7 linked regions of the Macaca mulatta genome follow. The main gene of each other region encodes a partner of the protein of the gene in region 3 in a complex. Links are inferred from orthologs where the notes say so. Each region holds a gene or a part of one and is shown on either strand. Other genes may lie near its edges.

What was found.
Region 1: the proteins of RHOA (region 3) and ANLN are in contact, whole or in part, in a crystal structure (PDB 4XOI), measured with the Homo sapiens proteins. The link is inferred for Macaca mulatta from reciprocal best matches to the Homo sapiens genes RHOA and ANLN. Residues at the interface, in NP_001300870.1 of Homo sapiens: Tyr34, Val35, Pro36, Thr37, Val38, Phe39, Glu40, Asn41, Trp58, Asp65, Tyr66, Arg68, Leu69, Pro71, Leu72, Pro75, Asp76; in NP_061155.2 of Homo sapiens: Met729, Thr732, Val733, Tyr735, Gln736, Ala737, Gln739, Ala740, Cys743, Cys744, Glu748, His749, Gly750, Ser753, Glu755, Glu758, Ala759, Leu762.
Region 2: the proteins of RHOA (region 3) and RAP1GDS1 are in contact, whole or in part, in a crystal structure (PDB 5ZHX), measured with the Homo sapiens proteins. The link is inferred for Macaca mulatta from reciprocal best matches to the Homo sapiens genes RHOA and RAP1GDS1. Residues at the interface, in NP_001300870.1 of Homo sapiens: Ala3, Ile4, Arg5, Lys6, Asp13, Lys18, Lys51, Asp65, Tyr66, Asp67, Arg68, Leu69, Arg70, Pro71, Leu72, Ser73, Tyr74, Lys98, Trp99, Pro101, Glu102, His105, Phe106, Leu179, Cys190, Leu191; in NP_001093897.1 of Homo sapiens: Arg111, Tyr118, His121, Ser171, Glu200, Met201, Val204, Asn208, Glu211, Leu212, Glu213, Ala249, Glu253, Lys290, Thr291, Asp294, Leu295, Val297, Leu298, Leu301, Asp303, Leu334, Leu338, Ala341, Asn342, Ala344, Arg345, Asn346, Asp347, Cys350.
Region 4: the proteins of RHOA (region 3) and ARHGEF2 are in contact, whole or in part, in a crystal structure (PDB 7G9I), measured with the Homo sapiens proteins. The link is inferred for Macaca mulatta from reciprocal best matches to the Homo sapiens genes RHOA and ARHGEF2. Residues at the interface, in NP_001300870.1 of Homo sapiens: Arg5, Lys7, Lys27, Gln29, Val33, Tyr34, Val35, Pro36, Thr37, Val38, Phe39, Glu40, Asn41, Tyr42, Val43, Asp45, Glu54, Trp58, Asp59, Ala61, Gly62, Gln63, Tyr66, Asp67, Arg68, Leu69, Leu72, Ser73, Pro75, Asp76; in NP_001155855.1 of Homo sapiens: Asp215, Ser216, Ser218, Leu219, Asp238, Val239, Glu242, Thr246, His249, Cys342, His345, Ser346, Leu349, Lys353, Lys376, Arg377, Gln381, Glu382, Leu385, Leu386, Thr388, Gln389, Ile391, Thr392, Lys393, Leu396, Leu397, Arg400, Lys423, Leu426.
Region 5: the proteins of RHOA (region 3) and TRPV4 are in contact, whole or in part, in a cryo-EM structure (PDB 9IQX), measured with the Homo sapiens proteins. The link is inferred for Macaca mulatta from reciprocal best matches to the Homo sapiens genes RHOA and TRPV4. Residues at the interface, in NP_001300870.1 of Homo sapiens: Met1, Ala2, Ala3, Arg5, Tyr34, Pro36, Val38, Phe39, Glu40, Asn41, Tyr42, Val43, Glu54, Trp58, Glu64, Asp65, Arg68, Leu69, Leu72, Pro75, Asp76; in NP_067638.3 of Homo sapiens: Lys177, Arg179, Thr181, Glu183, Glu184, Arg186, Pro188, Arg224, Glu225, Asn228, Ser229, Pro230, Arg232, Arg237, Asp263, His265, Ala266, Gln267, Arg269, Asp313, Arg315, Arg316.
Region 6: the proteins of RHOA (region 3) and ARHGEF11 are in contact, whole or in part, in a crystal structure (PDB 1XCG), measured with the Homo sapiens proteins. The link is inferred for Macaca mulatta from reciprocal best matches to the Homo sapiens genes RHOA and ARHGEF11. Residues at the interface, in NP_001300870.1 of Homo sapiens: Arg5, Thr19, Val33, Tyr34, Pro36, Thr37, Val38, Glu40, Asn41, Val43, Asp45, Glu54, Ala56, Trp58, Asp59, Ala61, Gly62, Gln63, Tyr66, Asp67, Arg68, Leu69, Arg70, Leu72, Ser73, Pro75, Asp76, Pro96, Glu97, Pro101; in NP_055599.1 of Homo sapiens: Asn715, Gln717, His718, Glu737, Val738, Glu741, Thr745, Ser748, Ser837, Lys844, Arg867, Arg868, Leu869, Gln870, Arg872, Asp873, Ile876, Met879, Gln880, Arg881, Thr883, Lys884, Leu887, Leu888, Ser891, Arg914, Leu917, Lys918, Val920, Asn921.
Region 7: the proteins of RHOA (region 3) and ROCK1 are in contact, whole or in part, in a crystal structure (PDB 1S1C), measured with the Homo sapiens proteins. The link is inferred for Macaca mulatta from reciprocal best matches to the Homo sapiens genes RHOA and ROCK1. Residues at the interface, in NP_001300870.1 of Homo sapiens: Val38, Phe39, Asp65, Tyr66, Arg68, Leu69, Leu72, Pro75; in NP_005397.1 of Homo sapiens: Lys999, Val1003, Asn1004, Leu1006, Ala1007, Met1010, Asn1011, Arg1012.

The regions. Positions count from the first base shown.
Region 1 is NC_133408.1:91,961,004-91,964,503, reverse strand, and holds part of ANLN (anillin), read left to right. Parts: intron 1-1,160; coding exon 1,161-1,383; intron 1,384-3,500. UniProt on the Homo sapiens protein: Required for cytokinesis. Essential for the structural integrity of the cleavage furrow and for completion of cleavage furrow ingression. Plays a role in bleb assembly during metaphase and anaphase of mitosis.
Region 2 is NC_133410.1:107,712,748-107,716,247, forward strand, and holds part of RAP1GDS1 (rap1 GTPase-GDP dissociation stimulator 1), read left to right. Parts: intron 1-131; coding exon 132-257; intron 258-1,348; coding exon 1,349-1,488; intron 1,489-3,500. UniProt on the Homo sapiens protein: Acts as a GEF (guanine nucleotide exchange factor) for the Rho family of small GTP-binding proteins (G proteins) that stimulates the dissociation of GDP to enable subsequent binding of GTP.
Region 3 is NC_133407.1:112,848,108-112,852,272, forward strand, and holds the start of RHOA (transforming protein RhoA), read right to left. Parts: upstream 2,801-4,165; 5' UTR 2,184-2,800; intron 1-2,183. UniProt on the Homo sapiens protein: Small GTPase which cycles between an active GTP-bound and an inactive GDP-bound state.
Region 4 is NC_133406.1:111,003,152-111,006,651, reverse strand, and holds part of ARHGEF2 (rho guanine nucleotide exchange factor 2), read right to left. Parts: coding exon 3,352-3,500; intron 3,006-3,351; coding exon 2,792-3,005; intron 230-2,791; coding exon 156-229; 3' UTR 1-155. UniProt on the Homo sapiens protein: Activates Rho-GTPases by promoting the exchange of GDP for GTP.
Region 5 is NC_133416.1:116,953,056-116,956,555, forward strand, and holds part of TRPV4 (transient receptor potential cation channel subfamily V member 4), read right to left. Parts: intron 1,396-3,500; coding exon 1,079-1,395; intron 1-1,078. UniProt on the Homo sapiens protein: Non-selective calcium permeant cation channel involved in osmotic sensitivity and mechanosensitivity. Activation by exposure to hypotonicity within the physiological range exhibits an outward rectification.
Region 6 is NC_133406.1:109,985,301-109,988,800, reverse strand, and holds part of ARHGEF11 (rho guanine nucleotide exchange factor 11), read right to left. Parts: coding exon 3,453-3,500; coding exon of another isoform or gene 3,406-3,452; exon of another isoform or gene 3,402-3,405; intron 2,405-3,401; coding exon 2,309-2,404; intron 1,100-2,308; coding exon 852-1,099; intron 607-851; coding exon 417-606; intron 1-416. UniProt on the Homo sapiens protein: May play a role in the regulation of RhoA GTPase by guanine nucleotide-binding alpha-12 (GNA12) and alpha-13 (GNA13). Acts as guanine nucleotide exchange factor (GEF) for RhoA GTPase and may act as GTPase-activating protein (GAP) for GNA12 and GNA13.
Region 7 is NC_133423.1:71,438,556-71,442,055, forward strand, and holds part of ROCK1 (rho-associated protein kinase 1), read left to right. Parts: intron 1-7; coding exon 8-101; intron 102-351; coding exon 352-440; intron 441-1,584; coding exon 1,585-1,773; intron 1,774-2,447; coding exon 2,448-2,607; intron 2,608-3,500. UniProt on the Homo sapiens protein: Protein kinase which is a key regulator of the actin cytoskeleton and cell polarity.

The sequences.
Region 1 (3,500 bases), on a different chromosome or scaffold from region 3:
GTCAATATCATTTTGGTCTTTGGAAGCCTTTTCTTTTTTTGTTATGAGTGGTATAATACATCTGTGTGTATGTACAGGTGGATGGGTGGATATGTGTTTTATAATAGGTGCATAGTGAGTTTATATGTATTTGTAAGATAGCAGTTTCTTAGAAAGTGAAAATCGTTAAGTTGGGTACCCTATCCCAAGATCAATTAGCAGTTGACAGCTGAAGTTATACTAATTTGATGCAAATCCAGTCTATAATGGAATGATAGAGCCTCTTCTTAGTCATTAAGGAGAGCACTGAAAATTAAGTCCTCTGTTATAATGCTTTAAATATATATATATGAGAAATTTATATAAATTTATCAAATATTTCTGAAAAGATGTATAACAAATTAGTAGCTATAGTTGCCTCCGGGAAGGCAAATTGCCAAACAGGGTATGATACTTTCACCGTATATCCTTTTGAAATGTTTGAAACTTTTACTTTGTGCATGTATTACCTCAACAGTTTTCAAAAAACAATCTTAAATAAAAAGGAAAAATAATTTTGTGTTTCTGACCATTGTCTTTTAGTGTACAGCTAGGCTTTAGAATTAGACCTGCATTGAATCCTAGCTCTACCACATAATTAGAAGTGTGACTTTGGACAAGGTGCTTAATATTGCAAGGCTTTATTTTTCTGTATGTAAAATAGGGAAAAAAAGATTATTTGGAGGGTTAATAAGAGTCATAAAACACTTAGCACAGTACCTGGCTATGTATAAGTACTTAATTTATTAACCATCAAGTACATGATACTATTTTGTTAAATTTTTATTGACTTAATTAAAATGTAATTTGGTCTAATATGGTTAAAAATTTGATAAAGGTACTAGTGCAATAATATGAATAAAACTTTTTTTTAAAATAGTGATCGTACTGCTAATACTTAATTACCCATGAATACATTATGCAGACTAACCCACATATTATAATTTAAATGATAGCATTTTTTAAGTTGGGTATTTTTCCCAAATCTTTCATATTTGTTTGATCTATTAGAGAGCAAAATCATTTCATTTTCATAAATCTTACATAAAGGCTATCAAGTAAATAGGACTTGAATTGTTTTGTTATAGGATTACTTTTAGATATTGTGAATGTTGTTTACCCTAGGCGTTTTCATGTTTCAGAAACCTACTTCTTCTCCAGTGAAATCTACTACATCTATCACTGATGCTAAAAGTTGTGAGGGACAAAATCCTGAACTTCCAAAAACTCCTATTAGTCCTCTGAAAACGGAGGTATCGAAACCAATTGTGAAGTCAACTTTACCCCAGACAGTTCCGTCCAAAGGAGAACTAAATAGAGAAATTTGTCTGCAATCTCAATCTAAAGACAAATCTACAACACCAGGTTACGTATTTATAAAAAATTTAAAATTATTGCTGACTATATTCAGGATATCTATTCTCAACATTTTAAATATCCAGTTGTGAATGGTACAGCAATGGTTTGCCAGGGCCAGTGCCTGAATGTTCCAAATGAGACCTCAGCTTTAGTTGATTCAATGAATATTTATTAATGTAGACTAGCCTATTTACTGGTCAAATGACTTAATATGTTACATTTTAACAGTTTAAACATGCTTTTTCCAGGATGATCTTGCTAGATTTTATTTTCTATATTTTTTGATTCAGACAAAGCATATTTAACTGGAAATCACAGTTTAGGGGCATAATGGAGAAACATTCTTGTAGCCAAGGGTGCAGAGCAGTGCTTCTCAATCTTGAGTATGAAGGCACCTCTAATAGCAGAGAGAAGTGAATGTGCATATGAATGACTCCACCTCTAATTTTATTTATTAAATTGATAAATGGTAGAAATATTTGAAAAAATTGCTGTTTATTGGTAAATAATATATATATTTTGGAAGTACATTTGATAATTTAATATATTCATATAATTTGTAAATATCAAATCAGTGTAATGAGGATATCCATCACCTTAAATACTTGTCTTTATGCTAGAAACATTTGAATTCTTCTCTTGTAGCTATTTTGAAGTATACAATAGATTATTGTAAACTATAGCACCCTACTGATCTATCAAACACTGGGTCTTTTTTGTTCTGCCAAACTGTATATTTGTACTCATTAATCAACCTCTCTTCATCCCCCAATTATATCTATCTGTGTATATATTGTGTGTGAGCATTTACATATAAAAGTTCAAAATTTCTTGCCATAGTAAACTGATACTCCAGGAAATGCCATATTTATCTTGTGGTGATTTATATCTTCTGGCACACTTCCACATGCTGTTAATTGAGAAACACAGGACTAAAATATATGGTAATCGAGTTTATTCTGAACTGTGTTCATTTTCATTGGAAAGACTTTTAATTCTAAGGTTTAACTTTCTGAAAATACAACCTCTGCAGAAACTATAGTTCATCATAAAGGGGCAGTAAACAGAAATGAGAGTGGGGAAGCGGTTATGGGGTAGGTAGAAATCAGCAATTTCCAGTTGAGCTGGAATGAGAATTAGAAACAATAGCAAGATCCCCAGATGGAATAGGACTAGTTAGTCCCAATTTTCTAAAGACTCAACGCTTAGATAAGAAGCATGTGTTTTAATTGTTCTTGACTACTGGATATACCCAGAATCACATTTCCAGGGTTTCAGAGATATTTATTTTAGATACTTCACTGCATTCTTAATGGACTGTAGTTTGGAATATGGCCTGAAGTAGTAATAAGTGACAGGTGAAGTCCTCAAATTATGGCCATGGCTCAAATTCTACTCTTTGCTTGTTTTTGCAAGTAAAGTTTTATTGGAGCACAGTCACACCCATTTACTTACATATTGTCTGTGGTTGCTTTCATTCTGTAATGCAGACCAGAATAATTGTGACAGAGGCCATATGGCCCACAAAGCTCAAAATATTTAGTGCCTGGCCCTTTACAGGAAAATATATGCTAATCTCTGATATAGATAAGCCTATTTTTATGTAATACAACCTTAGAATCCTCTTGATGGGAGTGATATATGCCCCATTTGCCCTATTTTAAATTTACTTCATACTGTTTCAAATGAGTGCTGTGGAGTTTTTTGTTTTGTTTTGTTTTGCTGTTTTTGTTTTTGAGACAGGGTCTCACTTTGTCACCCAGGATGGAGTGCAGTGAGTGGCATGATCTCAGCTCACTGCAGCCTCAACCTCCCAGATTCAAGCAATCCTCCTGCCTCAGCCCACCAAGTAGCTGGGATTATAGGCATGCCACTACACCTGGCTAATTTTTGTATTTTTTTATAGAGATGGGGTTCCTCCATGTTGCTCGGGCTGGTCTCGAACTCCTGAGCTCAAGAGATCCACCTGCCTCGGTCTCCCAGAGTATAGGATTACAGGTGTGAGCCACCGTGCCCAACCGAATACTATTTTAAGATACTGTAAAATCAAGGTGTCCTTTTGATAAAATGAATAATCTCTAGTTTTCCTTCTGAAGGAGAAAAAGGAAAAATTCCCTTATTTT
Region 2 (3,500 bases), on a different chromosome or scaffold from region 3:
GTGACAGAATTGTTTCTAAATGGAAAAATATAACATGGATCTTAAAGACACTCAATAAACCTGTATTGAATTGAATGTTTATCAACAGGAATGCTAATACCATTTTAACCATAGTCTCTCTTTTTCTACAGTTATAAATAAAGCAAAGATGTTATCAGCTGGGGTCACAGAGACAGTTTTAAAATTTCTTAAATCTGAAATGCCCCCTGTTCAGTTCAAACTTCTGGGAACATTAAGAATGTTAATAGATGCACAAGGTAAAAGAAATGTTTTCCCCAACTTGCATTTTTGGTATGATAGTCTTAATGTGCTTCTAGTTGAAAAAAGACTTGTTTCTCGCTTTCAGGATTATGTAATCATAAAAAATAGCAAATAAAAGATTAAAAAATTAGTTTTGGAACTCCATTTGTTAATTTTTGTGCTTGTTATAATTGACTATTTATTTATTTATAACTATTATTTATTTATTTTTGAGACAGAGTCTTGTTCTGTCACCCAGGCTGGAGTGCAGTGGTGTGACTTCAGCTCACCGCAACTTCCACCTCCTGGGTTCAAGCAATTTTCCTGCCTCAGCCTCCTGAGTGGCTAGGATTACAGGCATGCTCCACATCTCCTGGCTAATTGTTTTTGGAATTTCACTAGAGATGGGGCTTGTTGCCCAGGCTGCTCTTGAACTCCTGGCCTCAAGCGATCCTCGCACTTCAGCCTCCCAAAGTGCTGGGATTACAGGTGTGAGCCACCACGCCCAGCCTATTATTGACTTTAAGTAGAAATTATACCATATCTCTCCTTATTAATTCTTATAATCCTGGTTTTAGTTTGCTTTATTATCAATTTCGGGGGAGGGCGTTGTGTTTTGGCATTCTATACCCATTTTCACCTTGGCTTTGAAATCAAATTTCATTATTGTGACAGTCAAAAATCTTAAAAATTTGTCTTGTGGCAGGGAGAGCATTTTTCTATTTGCAGAAACAGCAGTCAGAACCACTCCTAGGAATGAATTATGTTTATTTACTTATTTCTAAATTCTAAAGCCTTTTCTATATTGATTGCATAGAGTCCTTCTAAGAACCCTGCATTATAGTCTGCCAGAGCACTAACAGACTAGCAGGCTTAACCAAAAGAGTATGAAATCATTTGTTTTTGTATTTTCTATAAAATTTCACAATGTTACAGAAAAAGGCAAATAGCCCATCACATAAGGAATATTTGCAGTTCTAGCTTTAATGAAATTGTTGTGCTGTGTTTTTTTAGATGTATTTCTCCTTCACACTCTTAAATCTTTACGAATTACTTCAGCTGATTGTCTGTTAGTGATTCATTCCTTGGTTTGCCTTCTTTCCTATAGCAGAAGCTGCTGAACAACTGGGAAAGAATGTTAAGTTAGTGGAGCGTTTGGTGGAATGGTGTGAAGCCAAAGATCATGCTGGTGTGATGGGGGAGTCAAACAGACTGCTGTCTGCCCTTATACGACACAGTAAATCAAAAGTAAGTTCCAGAGGAAACTGTTCACTAGAAAACTTCAGAGCGTCTTTTTCAGAAACCCAGCATTGTAGGTCCTAACAACTGGGATAATATTTACCTGAAAGTATTGTGAAGATTCAGTGAGATCATGTGTATAATGTGCTTAGCTGGTACATGGGATATAGGAAACACTCAGTAAATGGGGGTTGCTGTTGCTGCTGCTATTGTTGTTATTACTTTTACCACCACCATTACCAGCATTAGTGTCAAACATTTCTTTGTGCCAGGCATTGACCATGCAGGCTACTGATATTTAGAATTTAGAAATTAAATGATATCTAGATAGTATATGATGTCCAGAGCTCACAGAGTTAGAAAAAAATCCATTCTTGTGACTGTGCAGCTTTCTGGCACATGGTAGATAACCAATAAATGAACAGATGAGCTGTTTCAAAGATCACAATAGTGAGTACCCAGGCCAGCAGTTCAGCAGCTGATTTAGTATCTAGATTATATGATTTTTAAATTTTTTAAATACTGTTTTTTTCTTTTCTTTCTTTTTTTTTGAGACTGAGTCTTGCTCTGTCGCCCAGGCTAGAGTGCAGTGGTACAACCTCGGCTCACTGCAACCTCTACCTCCCAGGTTCAAGCAATTCTCCTGCCTCAGCCTCCAGAGTAGCAGGGATTACAGGCAGGCGCCACCACCCTCAGCTAATTTTTGTATTTTTAGTAGAGATGGGGTTTTACCATGTTGGCCAGGCTGGCCTCGAACTCCTGACCTCATGATCCGCCTGCCTCGGCTTCCCAAAGTGCTGGGATTACAGGCATGAGCCATCATGCCCAGCCTTTAATACTGTTTTCTAAGGTGACCCTTTCAGTCATTTCTCTTGTACAACTTCAGTAGTGATTATATATGAGGAGAAAGTTTAGAACTCAAACCCACCAGCTGTTTTCATTTATTTTTAGAACAGATAAGAAGATGCCAAGAGAAAAAGCATAAAACTAAAACTGTTCTTGACTTGTATAAATCTCTTTCATATAAATAATTCACTTCACCATAATAGCCATCCCAGCTGGTTAGCCTCAGGAGTGTTCTTCTCCATCAGATGCTAAATCTTGAGAACTTTCCCTGGGGAAAAGCAGCTGTTAACTAGGACCTTCCTATTACCTGTCTCACCCAGACCACCCTAAAATCTTATACATTTTCCCTGACACAGGACCAAGTAGTATGTTGGCAAAGCGAAAGTTATCAAGAGAGAATAGCAAAATGGCTTCGTTGGTACCCCTTTCACCCCTTCTCCATCATAACTGTTCTCTCATGCCCATTTGTTCATTTAACAGTTAATATTTGAGTTCTTGCAGTGTAAATACTACAAAATAGTGTTTCTATAAAGGAATTAACTATCTATTGAGGGGACAGACATAAAAACAGCTAGCTTAAGTACAGCATTAAAGCTACATATGCTATTCGGATGTAACAGAGGAAAGAAAGACTAACACACTGTCTGAGTGGTCTGGGATGGTGTCATAGAAGGAGTGCTATTTTAGGGGCTAACTAGGAATCTCTCAGGAGGAAAGGGAAAGAGAATGAAGGAAAGGGCCTTTTCAGGCAAAGACGACAGGATGTACAAAAAGTACAGAGATGTAAAACAGCATAATTTTAGAAGGAAACTGCAAATAAAGCAGCATTGCTAGAACATAGAGTGTGGAGAGAGACAGTGGCCAGAGAGGTTGAAAACTGGGAATTAAGTGAATTATATGCCAAGTTAAGGTGTATGGACTTGATTCTGTAGAGAATTCTGGAGCACTTAAAGGATTTTAAGCAGCAAGTTGCCATTATTTGGGTTTTTGTTTATTCGGGGTTTTTTTGAGACAGAGTTTCACTCTTGTTGCTCGGGCTGGAGTGCAATGGCACGATCTCCACTCACTGCAACCTCCTCCTCCTGGATTCAAGCAGTCCTCCTGCCTCAGCCTCTTGAGTAGCTGGGATCACAGGCATACACCACCATGCTCGGCTAATTTTGTATTTTTAGTAG
Region 3 (4,165 bases):
TTTATCAAACTGGTGGTTTGTGGTGGCTCGTGCCTACAATCCCAGGGCTTTGTGGGGCTGAGACGAGAGGATCACTTAAGACCAGGAGTTCAAGACCAGCCTGAGCAACTTAGTGAGACCCCTCTCTCTACAAAAAAATAATTAAAAACTAAAAATGTAGCCAGGCGTGGTGGTGCATACCTGCAACCCTAGCTACTCAAGAGGCTGAAGTGGAGAATTCTTGGGCCTAGGAGGTTGAGGATGCAGTAAGCTATGATTCCGACACTGTACTTCAGCTGGGTGACAGAACAAGACCCTGTGTCTAAAAAAAAATATATCAAACTATCATTTAAAGTATATGCATTTTGGCCGGGCGCGGTGGCTCAAGCCTGTAATCCCAGCACTTTGGGAGGCCGAGACGGGTGGATCACGAGGTCAGGAGATCGAGACCATCCTGGATAACACGGTGAAACCCCGTCTCTACTAAGAAATACAAAAAACTAGCCGGGTGAGGTGGCGGGCGCCTGTAGTCCCAGCTACTCGGGAGGCTGAGGCCGGAGAATGGCGTGAACCCGGGAGGCGGAGCTTGCAGTGAGCTGAGATCCGGCCACTGCACTCCAGCCTGGGTGACAGAGCGAGACTCCGTCTCAAAAAAAAATAATAATAAAATAAAATAAAGTATATGCATTTTATTGTACGCAAATTATACCTCCATGAAGGTGATTAAAACAAACCTCAGGTGATTCCAACTTGGGGAACTGGATTCCAAGTCTGGAAAGAGCCGAGTCTAGGAAACATGTTCTTAAGCACCAGGAACCAAGTAGTAAGCCCTGTTTTATTCCAAGAGATCTTAGGGCGCTACTCCCGCTACCCTTCCCCTGCCCTGCCAAAAAAAGGTACTACAAACTGTAACCTGAATAGTGAAAGTTGAAGATAGCTGGACTCAGTGGCTCACGCCCATACTTCCAGCACTTTGGGAGTCTGAGGTGGGAGGATTGTTTGAGCCCAGGAGTCTGAGACCAACCTGGGCAAGACATTGAGATTCCATCTCTACGAAAGGTAAAAATATTAGCTGGGCGCAGTTGCACACACACCTGTAGTCCCAGCTACTCGGGAGGCTGAGGTGGAAGGATACCCTGACACCAAAAGCTGGAGGCCACCATGAGCTAAGATTATGCCACTGCACTCCAGCCTGGAAGACAAAACAATACCTTATCCAAAAAAAAAAAAAAAAAAGGCCGGGCGCTGTGGCTCACACCCATAATCCCAGTACTTTGGGAAGCCGAGGCAAGTGGATCACGAGGTCATGAGTTCGAGACCAGCCTGGCCAACATAGTGAAACTCCGTCTCTAGTGAAAAAACAAACACAAAAACACACACAAAAAATTTAGCTGGGCATGGTGGCGCGCGCCTGTAGTCCCAGCTACTTGGGAGGCTGAGGCAGGAGAATCGCTTGCACTGGGTAGGCAGAGGTTGCAGTGAGCCAAGATTGTGCCACTACACTCCAGCTTGGACAACAGAGCAAGCCTCCGTCTCAAAAAAAAAAAAGGCCAGGCACGGTGGCTCACGGCTGTAATACTAGCAACTATGGGAGGCCAAGGTAGGCGGACTGCCTGAACACAGGAGATGGAGACCAGCCTGGGCAACACGGTAAAACCCCGTCTCTGCTAAAATACAAAACAAAAATTAGCCGGGCGTGGCAGCATGCACCTGTAGTCCCAGTTTACCTGGGAGGCTAAGACAGGAGAATCGCATGAACCTGGGAGGCGGAGGTTGCAGGGCGCCGAGATCATGCCACTGTACTCCGGCCTGGGCGACAGAGCCAGACTCGGTCTCCAAAAAAAAAGTAATAAAAAAAGTAGGCCAGGCGCGGTGGCTCACACCTGTAATTCCAGCACTTTGGGAGGTGGAGGCAGGCAGATCACCTGAGGTCAGGAGATCGAAACCATCCTGGCTAACATCGTGAAAACCAGTCTGTGCTAAAAATACAAAAAATTGCTGGGCGCAGTGGCTCAAGCCTGTAATCCCAGCACTTTGGGAGGCCGAGACGGGCGGATCACGAGGCCAGGAGATCGAGACCATCCTGGCTAACACGGTGAAACCCCGTCTCTACTGAAAAATACAAAAAAAAACTAGCCGGGTGAGGTGGCGGGCGCCTGTAGTCCCAGCTACTCCGGAGGCCGAGGCAGGAGAATGGCGTGGACCCGGGAGGCGGAGCTTGCAGTGAGCTGAGATCCGGCCACTGCACAGAGCGAGACTCCATCTCAAAAAAAATAAAAATAAATGAAAAAAAATAAAAATAAAAATAAAAAGACAAAAAATTAGCCGGGCATGGTGGCACATGCGTGTAATCCCAACTACTCAGGAGGCTGAGGCAGGAGAATCGCTTGAACCTGAGAGGTGGAGATTGCAGTAAGCTGGGATCGTGCCATTGCACTCCAGCCTGTGCAACAAGAGCAAAACTTCATCTCAAAAAATAAATAAATATAATAAGTTAGCTGAAAGGCTGCTGTCTGGCACTTGAGGTAAGTGCTTCTCTCTCACTGAAATCTCATAGTGCTCGCTTACCATTCCCTTTCTACAGAAGAAAAAAACTGAATCAAAAAGGAATCATATTACTGTCAAGGGTCTCAAGCCATCAAGTGTCAGAGCTAGTATTTAACTGTCAGCTTCTCTCCAGAATCCATGCTCTTAAATAAGATACTCTACTGCCTTCCTTTTCTTTGTGTTTGTGTTTGAGACAGAGTTGCCCAGGCTGGAGTGCTGTGATCTTGGAGCACTGCAACCTCCACCTCCCAAGTTCGAGCAATTCTCCTGCTTCAGCCTCCTGAGTAGCTGGGATTACAGTAACCCACTAACACACCTGGCTAATTTTTGTAGTTTTAGTAGAGATGGGGTTTCACCATGTTGGTCAGACTGGTTTTGAACTCCTGACCTCAGGTGATCCACCCACCTTGGCCTCCCAAAGTGCTGGAATAAAGGCGTGAGCCACTGTATGCAGCTTGCCTTCCTTTTCTGAACTTAATATCTTTAAAAGATAAACAGCTTCATTATGAATAACTGGAGAAGTTAAACAAGAGATTTCATCCAGAAAAGAAATTTTCCACACACACACAAAACATCTCTGAACAAAATTGCTGTATCACATAATAAAATTATCTTGTAGAGAAAAGGATTAACAAAGTGCTACAACATCAATATCCATCCTAAATTTACTTCCTTAACCTCTCAAAGCCTATATCCCAAACAACAAACGGAGTTACAAAAAAATATCCTGGTAATAGAGCATGTGATCTCTAAGTCCAGAGAATCACAACTCATCTGCAACATACAGAGTAGGATACAATGGCCACAAGAATACAGTAAAATAAAAATGTATACATAACAAAAGTTAGAATGTTCAACCATATACCTAAAGTCAAAACAAGCAACTTTTTAAAATTATGGAACTGAATTCTTGTGATTTAGAGCAGCTATAAGCTTCAGAAGTTAAAAATCTTGGCCAGGGTAGCTCACGCCCATAATTCCAGCAGGAAGCTGAGGTGGGTGGATTGCCTGAGGTCAGGAATTTGAGACCAGCCTGGCCGACATGGTATAATTCTTGTCTCTACTAAAATACAAAATACAAAAATTAGCCGGGGGTGGTGGGCAGGTGGTGGTTGGCACCTGTAATCGAGCTACTGGGGAGGCTGAGGCACGAGCATTGCTTGACTCACACCTGTAATCCTAGCACTTTGGGAGGCTGAGACAGGAGGACCACTTGAGCCCAGGAGTACAAGATCAGTCTAGGCAACATAGCAACACCCCATCTCTAATACAAAAAAAGAAGAAAAAAATAAAGCAAAAAAAAATTTTTTTTTTTAGACGGAGTCTCGCTCTGTCGCCCAGGCTGGGGTGCAGTGGCCTGATCTCAGCTCACTGCAAGCTCCACTTCCCGGGTTTACGCCATTCTCCTGCCTCAGCCTCCCGAGTAGCTGGGACTACAGACGCCCGCCACCTCGCCTGGCTAGTTTTTTGTATTTCTTAGTAGAAACGGGGTTTCACCGTGTTAGCCAGCCAGGATGGCCTCGATCCCCTGACCTCGTGATCCACCCGTCTCGGCCTCCCAAAGTGCTGGGATTACAGGCTTGAGCCCCCGTGCCTGGCCAGCAAAAAAAATTTTAACACAAATCCTTGGTGGCTCACG
Region 4 (3,500 bases), on a different chromosome or scaffold from region 3:
AAATGGCCCCAGGTATCTAAGGATCCCAAGAGCTGGCAAGGACAGTCTGCAGTTCTTTCAAATGTTCCCTCATCATTGGCAAATTGGAGTCCCCAAGGTTAGCCCCCCTCAGTAATGTTCTTCAGTGGGGCACAGGGCAGGGGTGAGGGGCCCCCTTAGCTCTCGGAGGCTACAGCCTCCCCGTCGCGGCTCTCCGTCTCCTCCGGGATGTCCTGCATTCTGGTAAAGTCTGAAGGGGGACAGGACAAAGCCAGTGAGTGAGCAGAGACTCCCATGAGGAACTGTACCCCTATACTAATGCCTCCCCATCTGCAGGCTCAGGGGGCTCTGGGGCTGTGAAGGGATGACAGGGTTCTGTAAATTCTTGGGTGAGAGGAAAACCTCTGGCAACACAGTAAGTGAGGTATCCACATCTAGGAACCAGATACACTTGTACAGTATCCAAAGATACAATCTGATTAGGAAAGTACAAAATACTTTAAGGTTAGAGCTTTTGGTAATTTTTTATTTCATGAACCAACTATAAAAACTTGAAGGTCTTTGAAACTTTTTTTACTTTAAAAACTGGCCTAGTGGCTCATGATTGTAATCCCAACACTTTGGGAGGCCAAGGTGGGAGAATCACTTAAGGCCAGGAGTTGGAGACCAGCCTGGCCAACATGGTGAAACCCCATCTCTAGTAAAAGTGCCAAAAATTAGCTGTATGTGGTGGCACGTGCCTGTAATCCCAGCTATTCGGGAGACTGAGGAACAAGAATTGCTTGAACCTGGGAGGTGGAGGTAGCAGTGAGCTGAGATTGTGCTACTACACTCCAGCCTGGGTGACAGAGCAAAATTCTGTCTCAAAAAAAAAAAAAAAAAACAACTATATCTTCCCAGGCACAGTGGCATGCACTTGTAGCCCCAGCTACTTGGGAGGATCACTTAAGCCCAGGAGTTTGAGTCCAGCCTCGGCAACAGCACGACACCCTGTCTCTAAAATAAAAAATTTCAGAGCGAGATCCTGTGTCTGGGTCTCCTGGTCTCTTTCTGTCGCCCAGGCTGGCGCAATCACAGAGTACTGTCAACTCAATCTGCTGGGCTCAAGCGATCCTCTCACCTCACTCTCACTGTCTGTAGCTAGGACTACAGGCGCACGCCACCACGCCTGGCTAATTAAAAAAATTTTGGCGGGCCAGGCACGGTGGCTCACGCCTGTAATCCCAGCACTCTGGGAGGCCAGGGTGGATGAATCACCTGAGGTCAGGAGTTCGAGACCAGCCTGGCCAACATAGTGAAACTCCATCTCTACTAAAAAATACAAAAAAAAATTAGCCAGGTGTGGTGGCGCATGCCTGTAATCCCAACTACTCGAGAGGCTGAAGCAGGAGAATCACTTGAACCCAGGAGGTGGAGGTTGCAGTAAGCTGAGATCACACCACTGCACTCCAGCCTGGGTGAGAGTGAGACTCCATTTTAAAAAAATAAAAATAAAAAATAAAATAGGCCAGGCGCAATGGCTCACATCTGTAATCCCAGCACTTTGGGAGGCCAAGGTGGGCAGATCATGAGGTCAAGAAATAGAGACCAGCCTGGGCAACATGGTGAAACCCTATGTCTTCTAAAAATACAAAAATTAGCTGGGCATGGAGGCATGTGCCTGTAGTCCCAGCTACTCGGGAGTCTGAGGCAGGAGAATCATTTGAACCTGGGAGGCAGAAGTTGCAGTGAGCCGAGATTTCACCACTGTACTCCAGCCTGGTGACAGAGCGAGAATTCCATCTCAAAAAAAAAAAAAAAAAAAAAAAAAAATTTAGTCGGGCATGGTAGCTCACGCCTGTAATCCCAATCTGTTGGGAGGCCAAAACAGGTAGATCATGAGGTCAGGCGTTCAAGAACAGCCTGGCCAACACAGTGAAACCCCGTTTCTACTAAAAATACAAAAATTAGCCGGGCATGGTGGTGGGTGCCTGTAATCCCAGCTACTCGGGAGGCTGAGGCAGGAGAACTGCTTGAACCTGGAAGGCAGAGGTTGCAGTGAGCCAAGATCACACTACTGCACTCCAGCCCAGGCAACAGTGTAAGACTCCGTCTCAAAAAATAATAATAAAAAAATAAGTAAGTAATTAAATTAAATAAAAAAATAAAATAAAATAAATGAATTTTTTTTTTTGGTAGAGGAGGTGGATCTCACTATGTCGCCCAGGCTGGCCTCAAAATTCTGAGCTTAGGCCGGGCGTGGTGGCTCAGGCCTGTAATCTCAGCACTTTGGGAGGCCGAGACGGGTGGATCACGAGGTCAGGAGATCGAGACCATCCTGGCTAACACCGTGAAACCCCGTCTCCACTAAAAAAATACAAAAAAAGCCAGCTGGGCGAGGTGGCGGGCGCCTGTAGTCCCAGCTACTCGAGAGGCTGAGGCAGGAGAATAGCATAAACCTGGGAGGCGGAGCTTGCAGTGAGCTGAGATCTGGCCACTGCACTCCAGCCTGGGCGACAGAGCGAGACTCCGTCTCAAAAAAAAAAAAAATTCTGAGCTTAAGCGATCCTCCTGCCTTGGCCTCTCAAAGTGTTAGGATTACAGGCCTGAGCCACCATGCCTTTTCTAAAAAAAATCTATTTTTACTTCTAAAGGTTGGGAATCACCAACCAGTTGGAGGAGGGAGGCCCCTCCTGCTTCTTAGAGTTCCACCAACCATTCATCATCAGACAAAACAGGAAGTCCCTCCCTAGAGTTACTATAAGCCTCACAGGTCAGTTAGGGCCCATTTGGAAGCCACAGCCCCAAGGCCTGTACGCAGGCTGCACTCTACCTCTGGTCCATGTCTCCGCCAGGGTCTCACCTCGTGGACTGTGGGGCGGAGACAGACGGCTGCTACCTTCCTCCTCACTGCCAGTGTCAGGGTCACTGCTATCTTGCAGCCGCTCTTCAGGGCTCCCCAGTTCCTGCCTCTCTCGGTCCTCAAAGTGTCGATGGACAGAGCGAGTAGTGACAGGCAGATCTAGGCGGTCTGTGCCTCGGTTGGGCTGTGGACAGTGGGCAGGAAGAACAGCAGGCCAGGGACTGAGTAGTGTGAAGACTGGAGGTTCTGTTTGGCTGAAGGCAGCAGCTCTCCCCACTGGGGCTCACCCATGACTCCCCTTCAGGAGATCCACCACCAACTGGCCTCTTTCAGCACCACCACCCGAGTTAGTTTCCTCCACCCCTGCACCCATCTACATTTCTTTTCAGTTCTCCAACTAGTACCTCAATATCCTTCAAGTCGGTTGCCTGATTGCATTTGGGCTCAAATCCCCAATGGCCCAATTTCTTTTGGGCTCCACGGACCCTTATGTCCACCCCAGGTCCGTTCACCACTGCAGGCCACCTTACCTGTGGGGGGTTGAAACTCAAGTACAGGGCATCGCCTGCAGGGAGGCTGCGCCGCCGAGGATCCACAGGTCTGCGGGCCCAGGGGGCCTCGGCTGGGAGTGGCTCGGTCTGGCCCAGGGCGGCCAGCTGCCTTCGAGCCTCTTCAGCCT
Region 5 (3,500 bases), on a different chromosome or scaffold from region 3:
TAATGGTCTGAGGCTGGGTGTAATGGCTCACACCTGCAATCTCAGCACTTTGGGAAGCCAAGGCCCGCCGATCGCTTGAGCTCAGAAGTTCAAGACCAGCCTGGGTAACATGGTGAAACCCCATCTCTACAAAAAATACAAAAATTAGCCAGGTGCAGTGGTGCACACCTTAGTCCCAGCTACTTGGGAGGCTGAGGTCGGAGAATCACTTGAGCCTGGGAGGCAGAGGTTGCAGTGAGCCAAGAGCGTGCATTGCACTCCAGCCCACAGGATGCCCTGTTTGCATCCTGTAATGCCCAGTGGGGAAACTGAGGCCCAATGAAGTAAGCAATACAGATAAAGGTTAAGAGCAGGCCGGAGTTGTTTCCCTCAGACGCAGTCCTGGGAGGACAACCTTGGGCCTTTTTTTTTTCACTGCACCATTTTCCTGAAATGCACAAAGTAAATATGGGTGCTGTATTCCTGGGCCATGGGGCAGCACTGTTTATTAGGACACCAGGTTTGGAGGCTGCACCTGGCCTGGGAGGGCTGTGATCCCAGGGCCTGCGCTTCCCAGGATTGTACAGAAAGCTTTTGGGAAGTAAAGGCTGCAGCTCCCCGGGGCCAAGGCAGCCCCTATCTCCACTGGTTTCTCCTCTAGGAAGCATGCTCACGGTTGCTAGTAAAAGACCCCCGTGAGAATGCTGACATCCCTGTGCTGGCGTGCTGAAGCATAAAAGCTGCCCCCTGGGCTCAGCATGGGACACCTGCTGAAACGCTGATGGCCACTGAGCACTTTCTGAGCTGGCAGAAGTCACTCAGTCATGCTGGGTGGAGCCAACTGTGTCCTGTGAGCTGAACCACAAGGAGAATCTGAGTCCACTGCTGGTGGCCAGGCAAGAAGCCACCTCGAAATTCATGAGGCAGCTCCGGGAAGTCAGCAGCAGCCTCTGATGCCCATTTTACAGACAGGGAAGTGGAGGCAGAATGAGAAGACACGGCTTGCTCAGAATGGAAGGCCGAGGAAGCCAGTCGGGTGAGTGTCCTTAGAAGGACAAGGGTGGCCGGTGGGATGGGGCTGGGGGCCCTGGGGCCTCACCTGCAGCTTCCAGATGTGCTTGCTCTCCTTGGATACCTGGCCCACCGTCTCGCCCATGAGGGCAATGAGCATGTTGAGGAGCAGCACAAAGGTGAGAATGATGTAGGTCACCAGCAGGATGATGAAGACCACGGGGTACTTGGTGCTGCTCAGCATCTCCAGGTCGCCCATGCCGATGGTCAGCTTAAACAGGTCCAGGAGGAAGGTGCTGAAGGTCTCGCTGTCGCGGCACGAGGGGTAAGTGGGCACTGTGCAGTTGGTCTGGTCCTCATTGCACACTTTCAAGTTGGCACACGGGTTCAGGAGGGAGACCAGGGCTGTGGGAGGGGTGGGGGTGGCACTCGCTGAGTGTGAGGACACGCACAGAGAGGTGGAGGGTGTCATTTTCATTTGCTGGAGGGGAAAGCTGAGGCCTAATGAGGGGAGCACCCTGGCCCACACGCTGACCTGTGTCACCCTGCACGTCAGCCAAGCCACACCAAACCCAGGTCCTCCTGATCCCAAAGCCTTTGAAGCCTTTGCTCTTTCCATAAACTCTTGCTGATAGGAAGAGGTTTTCTCTCTCTCTCTCTCTCTCTCTCTCTCTCTCTCTCTCTCTCTCTCTCTTTCTGTGATGGGGTCTTGCTATGTTGCCCAGGATGGAGTGCAGTGGCTACTCACAGGCGCAATCTCACTACTGAAAAGCATGGGAGTTTTGACCTGCTCTGTTTCCAACCTGGGACAGTTCACCCCTCCTTACACAACCTGGTGGTTCCCTGCTACTGGGAGGGAAGAGGTTTTCAGGATCTAGTCCAGGGAGGGTCTCAGTTTTCCCCACCAGGGGACATTTGACAATATCTAAAGACATATTGGGTTGTTACGACTGGGGGTGGGGGTGCTACTGGCATCAGGTGGGTGGAGGCCAGGGGTGCTGCCCAACACCCTGCAATGCAGAGGATGGTCCCTGCCACTAAGAATGATCTGGTCTCAAATGTCAATAGTGTTGGGAAATCCTAATGCAACCTACCATTCTTAGAGGTACTGGGGGCTCTGGAATGTCCCTATTCCCAGGGGCAGACTCTCTCTCTGACAGCTTCCCACTGCACCCCAACCCAGAGAGGAAAAATGGGGGCTGAAACCAGGCACCAGTCCTGACTGTCCCCGAAGCCATGTTCTCTAAGGGGCCTCTCCTGTTCCAGACATCTCAAACTCATCATGGTTCTCCTTTCCTACTAAGCTCAGGTGAAGCTTCAGATTCCTTCTCAACACAGTTTGGCAGCAACAACCTGTCCCTAAACCAGCCAGGGAGGGGAGCATGAAGAAGGCTCAGTCCCATCAGTCAGTGGGGCATAGAATGTCATATTGCCTGCAACCAGAGATCAGAGTATGCAGATTTCAACTCATATGCTAATGCTCTTCAGTTGTATAGCACCTTCTCAACAGAGAAGGATTCTGAGACCTTGTCTGGACTCACCAGAAAAACTGTTCTGTGATCCATTAGTAATGTCTGCTATGGGCACCAAAGTGTGGGAAGAGAAGCGTGTGTGTGTCCTGTTTATGTCATGTCAGCCTCAGAACCGAGATCTAGTGCATCCTATAAGGAGAAGCCCTGTGACTGAGCTGACTGCTCAGCTGCTACTCTAACCCTTGTTTCTGCTCGGTTTCAATAACTAGGACTGCAGTAAGGCTAGATCGCTGACCTGAATCCCAAACTGCTGAATCCTCGACACTGTCTAGTTTTTCCAGTGTGATCCCTGGAAGGGGAAAGCTGTACCCTGTCCCTATCTCCCTAGTGAAAACCACAATTCCACTTCCCCCCAATAATCCACATAGAGCCTTGGCCACTGTCATGGGTTAAAGTATCACCTTCATGAGATTCCTGTGCCAGGCTCGTCCCCAGATGAACCTGCTCAGATGTGAATGTGTCTGGGTCTAACCTGAGCTGGCCACTCCCCTTTGGATGCTGGGCATTGATGTCAGATCACCCACCCCTCAGGGACCAGCCCAAGGACTTGGTCAGTTTCTCCAGCCCTGGTCCCTGGTCCTTCCCTCATGGCCCATGCCACTGAGGTCCCAGAATGCTTCTGAGTGGCATTGTGACATCAGGGAGAAGGTGTATCAAAGGGAGCTGATGTCAGGCTTTAAGAAAATACCTGGGCTAGTAGTTTAATTATTAAATTTTATCCTTCCATGTATCCATGCCCCTTCAATGTGGCTTTACAGCTTCTCCCACCAAGAAGTGGAGTCTAGGCCAGGCACGGTGGCTCATGCCTATAATCCCGCACTTTGGGAGGCTGAGGTGGGAGGACTGCTTGAGCCCAGGAGTTCAAGACCAGACTGGGCAACATAGCGAGACCCTGTCTCCACCCAAAAACAAGAAAAAAAAGAAATGACGTCTATTTCCCCATCCGTTGAATCGAGGCTGGCCTTGGGACTTGCTTTG
Region 6 (3,500 bases), on a different chromosome or scaffold from region 3:
CTTGGGCCCAGGAGTTTGAGACCAGCCTGGGCAACATAGCCAGGCCAGCCCTTGTCTCGAAGAAATAGAAAATATTTATATTTTATATATGTATATATACACATACACACACACACACATATATATGTAATTTTAAAAAGTACAGATCTTAGATGTGAGACCAGGCTCCTCCTGGTTTGTTACCTCCATATACAAGGAAAAAGAGGGCTCAATTCTAAGCTCCCCATTTTTCCAGGGAGCTTCTGTGGGACTTCCCTAAAAAGATCCCTCTCTGAAGCTGAGGGAATGAATTCGTTTCACTCAAGGGGAAACCAGACTCTGAGAACCACTATCTCTCACTGCTTAGTGATGTGTCCTCACCAGGTGGCGGACTTCTCCCCTATGGTAGGTCCTGAGAGGGACCTGGCTTCACTCACCATCCTCAGGGCAGGGCCCCAGTTCATGGCTGTTCCTGGAGTCAGAAGCCAGGGGCTCCTTAGTGGGAGGTGAGAGGGAGCCGTCTGTCCATCTAGCTGCTTCTGTGTGGAAACTGCCCACAGGCGTGGTGCCACCAGATGACTCTCCCCCGAGGGACTTGAGCAGCTCTCTGTGGGCCAGCTCCATATCCTGGAAGAGTCGGCGGGGGAATGTCTGCTCAAGTCCTTCTATTCCTAAGGCCCCTGGGGAAGGGGTCATACTCTGATCTGTGCTGGGCCTTGGGGATGGGGCTGTGATTTAAGGGTGGCTGGGGGAAGATTCCCGGGCCAGGACAGGATCTAGGGCTCCCGCGAAGACACACATCTCACTCATGGGGAATGGTTTTGGAGTGATGGACTGAAGGCCTGCAGGGACCCAAGCCCTGTTTCCCTCACCTTGAGCCTGTTGAGCTTGAGGGTGAGCTGCTCAATGGTACGGAAGATCATGCCTACGTCCCTGAGGGCCAGGCTTGGGGGAGAGCGGCTGAGGCGTCTTGGATCTCCATTGCCTCCCTGCAGCTGAGGCCGAGGCTCTGCCTGCCCTGCAGGGACGCTGTCAGGCTGAGGGGGGCTTGTGGGTACCCCTGAGTGGTCGGTGCTTGAGTCCAGGGGTCCTGCTGGCATGCTGACATAAAAGCAGTTCCCTGTCCCCACAGTAAGAGAATGAGATCAGGAGGCAAACAGAGAAGTTGAAGCTATCCTCCCGCTCCTGTGGGATTCCCTAGTCACCCGACAGAGCAGGCCAGGCAGTCCTCTCCAGATGAACTTGCAGCACACGGGCCTTGCTCACTGTCTGCCAGCCCCCTAAAAGCCCTGCTCCCGCGACTTTCTTTTTTTTGAGACGGAGTCTCGCTCCGTCACCAGGGTGGAGTGTAGTGGCGCGATGTTTGCTCACTGCAACCTCCGCCTTCTGGGTTTAAGCAATTCTCCTGCCTCAGCCTCCCGATTAGCTGGGATTACAGGCCCGTGCCACCATGCCCAGCTAATTTTTGTATTCTTAGTAGAGATGGGGTTTCACCATGTTGGTCAGGCTGGTCTCGATCTCATGACCTCGTGATTCGCCCGCTTCGGCCTCCCAAAGTGCTGGGATTACAGGCATGAGCCACCGCGCTCGGCCACTCCCGAGATTTTCTAGATGGCACTTTGTTCAGTCTGGCCCCAACCCAGGGGAGATGCTGAGTGGTGAACTCAAGGGAGAAGTGGCAGAGCTGCAGTATTTCATTTGGGGAAATCAGAGTGGCTCCCCGTCCTTGAGTAAACAGATTGTGGACTGGTTTCAGGCTCTTTTGAAAGGAGCAGGCAGCAGCCCTCCTGCCCTGCCTGACTCCAGCTCTGGATGAACTGCAGCCCCGCCCTGCCCCTCTTCCATCCATGCCTTGATCCTCTGGAGGTCCCTTGACCCAACCAAGGGGTGTCAGAGAGAGCTGGAGGAAGGACGTGGAGGGTTCCTGACAGGCAGGAAGCACAGAGGACCACTGTGGAACCTGGGGGGCCCTTTCAGCTGATTTCCACAGTGACACTGGAGCGGCGGCTGAGGTGGGGAAGTGGCTGCTCGAGCATCAGGTGAAGGACACTGGGTCCCCAGAACCAGGCCAGGCTTCCCTGCCCCTCCCACAATTGCACACAGGCATTTATCCCTGCCACTCTGAACAGGAGCCTGGACAGGTGGATTCTTAAGACAGCACAGGGCCTGTCCCTGTCTTTAGAGCCAGATCTTCCTCCTCCTCCCCATTCCAGGCAGCTGAGGGAGCTTGTGGGTGTGTGTGTGACCATGGGCAGGGGTCTGACTCTGCCCTCACAGGTTCCACACTCCAGTCCTGGCCTGTCTTTAGCTCCAAGGAGAAAGTTATTACCCGTAGCCTTTGTTCCGCCTTCCACTTCAGGTGGCCCAGGCTCTGGCTGGCCACTCTCTGGTAGTGCAGGGACAACCTTGCTGCCTGCCACCTCAGCTGCACCGACACCACCACCACCAGGAAGAGGAGAGACCAGAAGACAAGGAAAGGGAAGGGAGAGAGAACAGGAAGGAGAGAGGGCAGGAGGTGGGGACGGGGGAGGAGAAAACGGGAAGAACAAGGTGAACACAAGCTCATACACGATGACATCCCAGGCAGTGCAGAGAACTTTCCACCAATTCACCAGCAGAGAGAGAAGGAAGGTCAGTTCCCAGAAACCCAGGAGAAGGCGGGCATTGGGCAGATGGAATGAAAAATGCTGCTGGAAGGGCGGCAGAGTGGAACCTCAGGGGAGGGCAGGCCCACTAGCGCGGAACCCCACCCCAGGTGTGCCCCAGGTTTTGTTCTACCTTTCTTGCCACCCTCTCAGACCAGCCCACTCTTCCCGGGGCAGGGACCTTCCTCCCTGGGCTCACTGCTTGGGCTGGGCAGACCTGTCGGCCTCCCTGTGAGCTTGTCTTGGCTTTTCTTGTCTCAAGGCTGCCCATGGTGTTTTCCAACCCGGGGTGCCCTCCCTGCCACCTTATTCACTCCCCATACCCCTCACTCGCCAAATGTCTTCTCAGCTTTGTCTTCCACCCCTTCCAGTCCCAGCTGCCACCTCTACTGCCCTAGGTGCTGTTGCCTGGTGTGAGGGGCTGCATGCACCTGCCCTGTCTTTCCCAGCCTGAGGCTCCTGAGAAGGGCGGCTCTTTTCTGTGGGACCAGATGAGTGAGGAGCGCTAACAAGAGACTGGTTGCTGGTAGCTGGTTTGTGCCAGGCAGAAGGAAATGTCCTTATGTGTTACAAAATGAAGTTCAGAGATGATTCAGAATTTTGTGTAAAGCCACACAGATATTAAGTGGCAGAGCTAAGCTCTGAATCTCGACTGCCTAACTCCAAAGCCTGCCTGGTATCAGCGTGTCTCCTTCATCCAGGACCAAGTGTAGGTCTCTGCTCACACGGTACCCAGGGGGAATATAGGGAAGGAAGCAGCTATTCGGAAGACTTATCTCACCTAGCAAGGGAGCTTGTCTCCCCACTGGACACTCCCATTTATTTTACCTTTTCTTACAACTTTGTAACCTCCTGCTGCCTCTGTGCTTGAAGCAT
Region 7 (3,500 bases), on a different chromosome or scaffold from region 3:
TGTTCAGCTTGAAGAAACAAACAGCATGCTAACCAAAGATATGGAAATATTAAGAAGAGAGAACGAAGAGCTAACAGAGAAAATGAAGAAGGCAGAGGAAGGTATGTAGAATTTTTTTTTAAATTATCATGTTAAATCAAATTCAGTGATTTACCTTTACCTATGTTGTGTTAGGTTTCTAAGATACCTGTTTTCATATATTAAGTAACTTCTGTAGCCTTAAGAATTATCTTAATGAAGTTACTGAAAGTTAATATGTAGTGTATACTCATTTGAATAATTAAGGACATTGTTAGTTTGAGATGCAGAAATTAATACCATACAATAACATTTAATATAATTTGTTGACAGAATATAAATTGGAGAAGGAGGAGGAGATCAGTAATCTTAAGGCTGCCTTTGAAAAGAATATCAACACTGAGCGAACCCTTAAAACACAGGTATACATGCTTTCAATCTTTTCCACATGTTCATTTTTGAGTTAATCGTTGCTCTTTATGCACTTTTTCCTAAAACCAAGGATTATAAGGTTCAAACTTTTCATCAGAACAAATAACGTAAATTCTTTTTTTTTTTTTTGAGACGGAGTCTCGCTCTGTCGCCCAGGCTGGAGTGCAGTGGCCAGATCTCAGCTCACTGCAAGCTCCGCCTCCCGGGTTCCCGCCATTCTCCTGCCTCAGCCTCCCGAGTAGCTGGGACCACAGGCGCCGCCACCTCGCCCGGCTAATTTTTTGTGTTTTTAGTAGAGACGGGGTTTCGCCGTGTTAGCCAGGATGGTCTCGATCTCCTGACCTTGTGATCCGCCCGTCTCGGCCTCCCAAAGTGCTGGGATTACAGGCTTGAGCCACCGCGCCTGGCCAAATAACGTAAATTCTCTCCCTGCTAACTATAAAAAACTTACTTGTGAAATAGGATTTTCAGGCCAGGCGTGGTGGCTCATGCCTGTAATCCCAGCACTTTAGGAGGCTGAGGCCAGCAGATCACTTAAGGCCAGGAGTTCGAGAGCAGCCTGGCTGACATGGCGAAACCCCAGTCTCTACTAAAAATACAAAAATTAGCCGGGCATGGTGGTGCGCTCCAGTAATACCAGCTACTCAGGCAGCTGAGGCACGAGAATTGCTTGAACCCAGGAGGCAGAGGTTGCAGTGAGTAAAGATCATGCCACTGCATGCCAGCCTGGGTGACAGAGCAAGACTCGGTCTCAAAAATAAAAAAAAGAATAGGATTTCAGTTAAGAAAGCTAACTTACCTAGTAATATTGTACAGTTGTAGAAGATAAGAGTATGTGGCCAAGGCATAGAAGCTTTATTTGCTAGTACCCAACATCAGAGTAGGATTAACATACTCTTGATTCAGTACTGGGTTGTAAAGTTAACCAAGGAAAGGCTCCTGGTTCTTACATTTGAGTAGTGTGATAAATCAGTGTTAGTTACTTGTGCTACCAGTTATCATGTCTCAACCGTCATTAAGTTGTCTGAATTTTCATACACACAAAAAGTCCTGCTTCCTTATTTTGAAGAAAAAAATACATTTTAGTATTAAATTGGATGACTACACTATTTATCTTTATTAATATTTTAATAGGCTGTTAACAAGTTGGCAGAAATAATGAATCGAAAAGATTTTAAAATTGATAGAAAGAAAGCTAATACACAAGATTTGAGAAAGAAAGAAAAGGAAAATCGAAAGCTACAACTGGAACTCAACCAAGAAAGAGAGAAATTCAACCAGATGGTAGTGAAACATCAGAAGGAGCTGAATGACATGCAAGCGGTAAGGTTTGTGTGTGTGTATGGACACGAGTGTGAAGGATTATTTTCTTAAATTATTTCTGTATATACTTGTTATCTGTTTATCTTGTTTAGATTGGGAACAATCAAGGGTTCCGCCTGTTTGGTTTCAGACTGTAATTGGGATATGGCTGTTTTAATGTTAACTGTAATTGGGGTAGAGGTTTTGAAGTATTGTAGCTTATTTATTTTCTCTAGTCAAGACTCACTTTTTTGAAATCAAAATAACAAGCTTAATTTTTTGATACCTCTTGGCTTGTTAATAGAACAAAATTGAGAACCTGGTCTCAGGCACTTAGATCTAAGCTTTTTAGCTCCATCAATTATGGTTTTCTGAAGTTTTCTGTACCTTTAAAGCTACTTCATTTGGAGCCAGAAAAGCATTTTCTATTGTAACTTTTTTTTTTGATGGCTTATGTTTGAAAACAAAAACAAAAACTCTTTTTAAGGCAAGTAGAAAAGGAATTTGTCCGAGCAATGTATTACTGAGAACTTGACATTTCTGTAGTGTATCAAAATCTGTGGTAGCAAACATTCATGAAGTTTACTGTACATTTTTAGTATTAGCAATTTAAATTACTTTATTATATTTCAATTAATAATGTTGGAAATTGTTTTAGCTTGATTATATATTATCTTGATACTTTTCAAAATTAGCAACTGGTAGAAGAATGTGCACATAGGAATGAGCTTCAGATGCAGTTGGCCAGCAAAGAGAGTGATATTGAGCAATTGCGTGCTAAACTTTTGGACCTCTCGGATTCTACAAGTGTTGCTAGTTTTCCTAGTGCTGATGAAACTGATGGAAACCTCCCAGGTAAGAATAATTCTGTATCATTCAAACATGTATAAATGTCATGGAAATTAGTGTATATTTCTTTCATTTGGGTTTCTACCTCCTTGTCGTTCTATCCATGGATTCCTAAGAAGGAATTCTTATTTCTGATAGCCAAGGCCTGATGATTATACACTTGGTGTATTTTATGGAGTACAGCAGTTGTAAGCAATCTTAGGCTATTTAAATAGACCTAAGAAGCTTTACCTGAATAAAAACCATAAGAGGTTTATGAACCTATTTTGAGCAGCCTAAGTCCACAGTGAGAGTCAAAGCTGCTACTACACATCTCGCTATTTTTTAAAAGTTGTACATTTTTGTCAGTAATAGATCTTTAACATTTTCTGTATTCTTGTGCTAAAACTAGGAACTGTACTTTATCATCAGAATCACAGCAGCTATGTATAGAAGCCTATCTAGTGGAGTAGTGATCAACTTCAATCAGACTTTGTTAAGTTTTAAGTTTGGAGAAATAGATAAAAGGGGTTGGGCAGTGCAGTAAGAGGCCAGGGGTGTCAAATAAAGGCAGGAATGAGTGGCTAAGATTTCAGACTTTTTTCTGTGTCTTCTTTTTCCCAGTGGAGAATCAATTTAAAAATAAACACAACTTCATTCTTGGCTTAATCGTCATGTAAACTACAGTACATTTATGTACTTTACAGAGATGAGAAATACGTATACTATAAGTTCAGTTTAGAAGTAAAATGAATAGGTTATCATTATTAAAACATGCATTTACATATACACAGAGTCTTAGTTCAGAGTCTTGGAAGTTTTGTATATATGGTCATAAACTTGAAAATAGATTTTAATTAGTGTATTTTCTGAATAATCCATAAATAGGAAGATATTTATGAAGCAGCATGTTTGATATT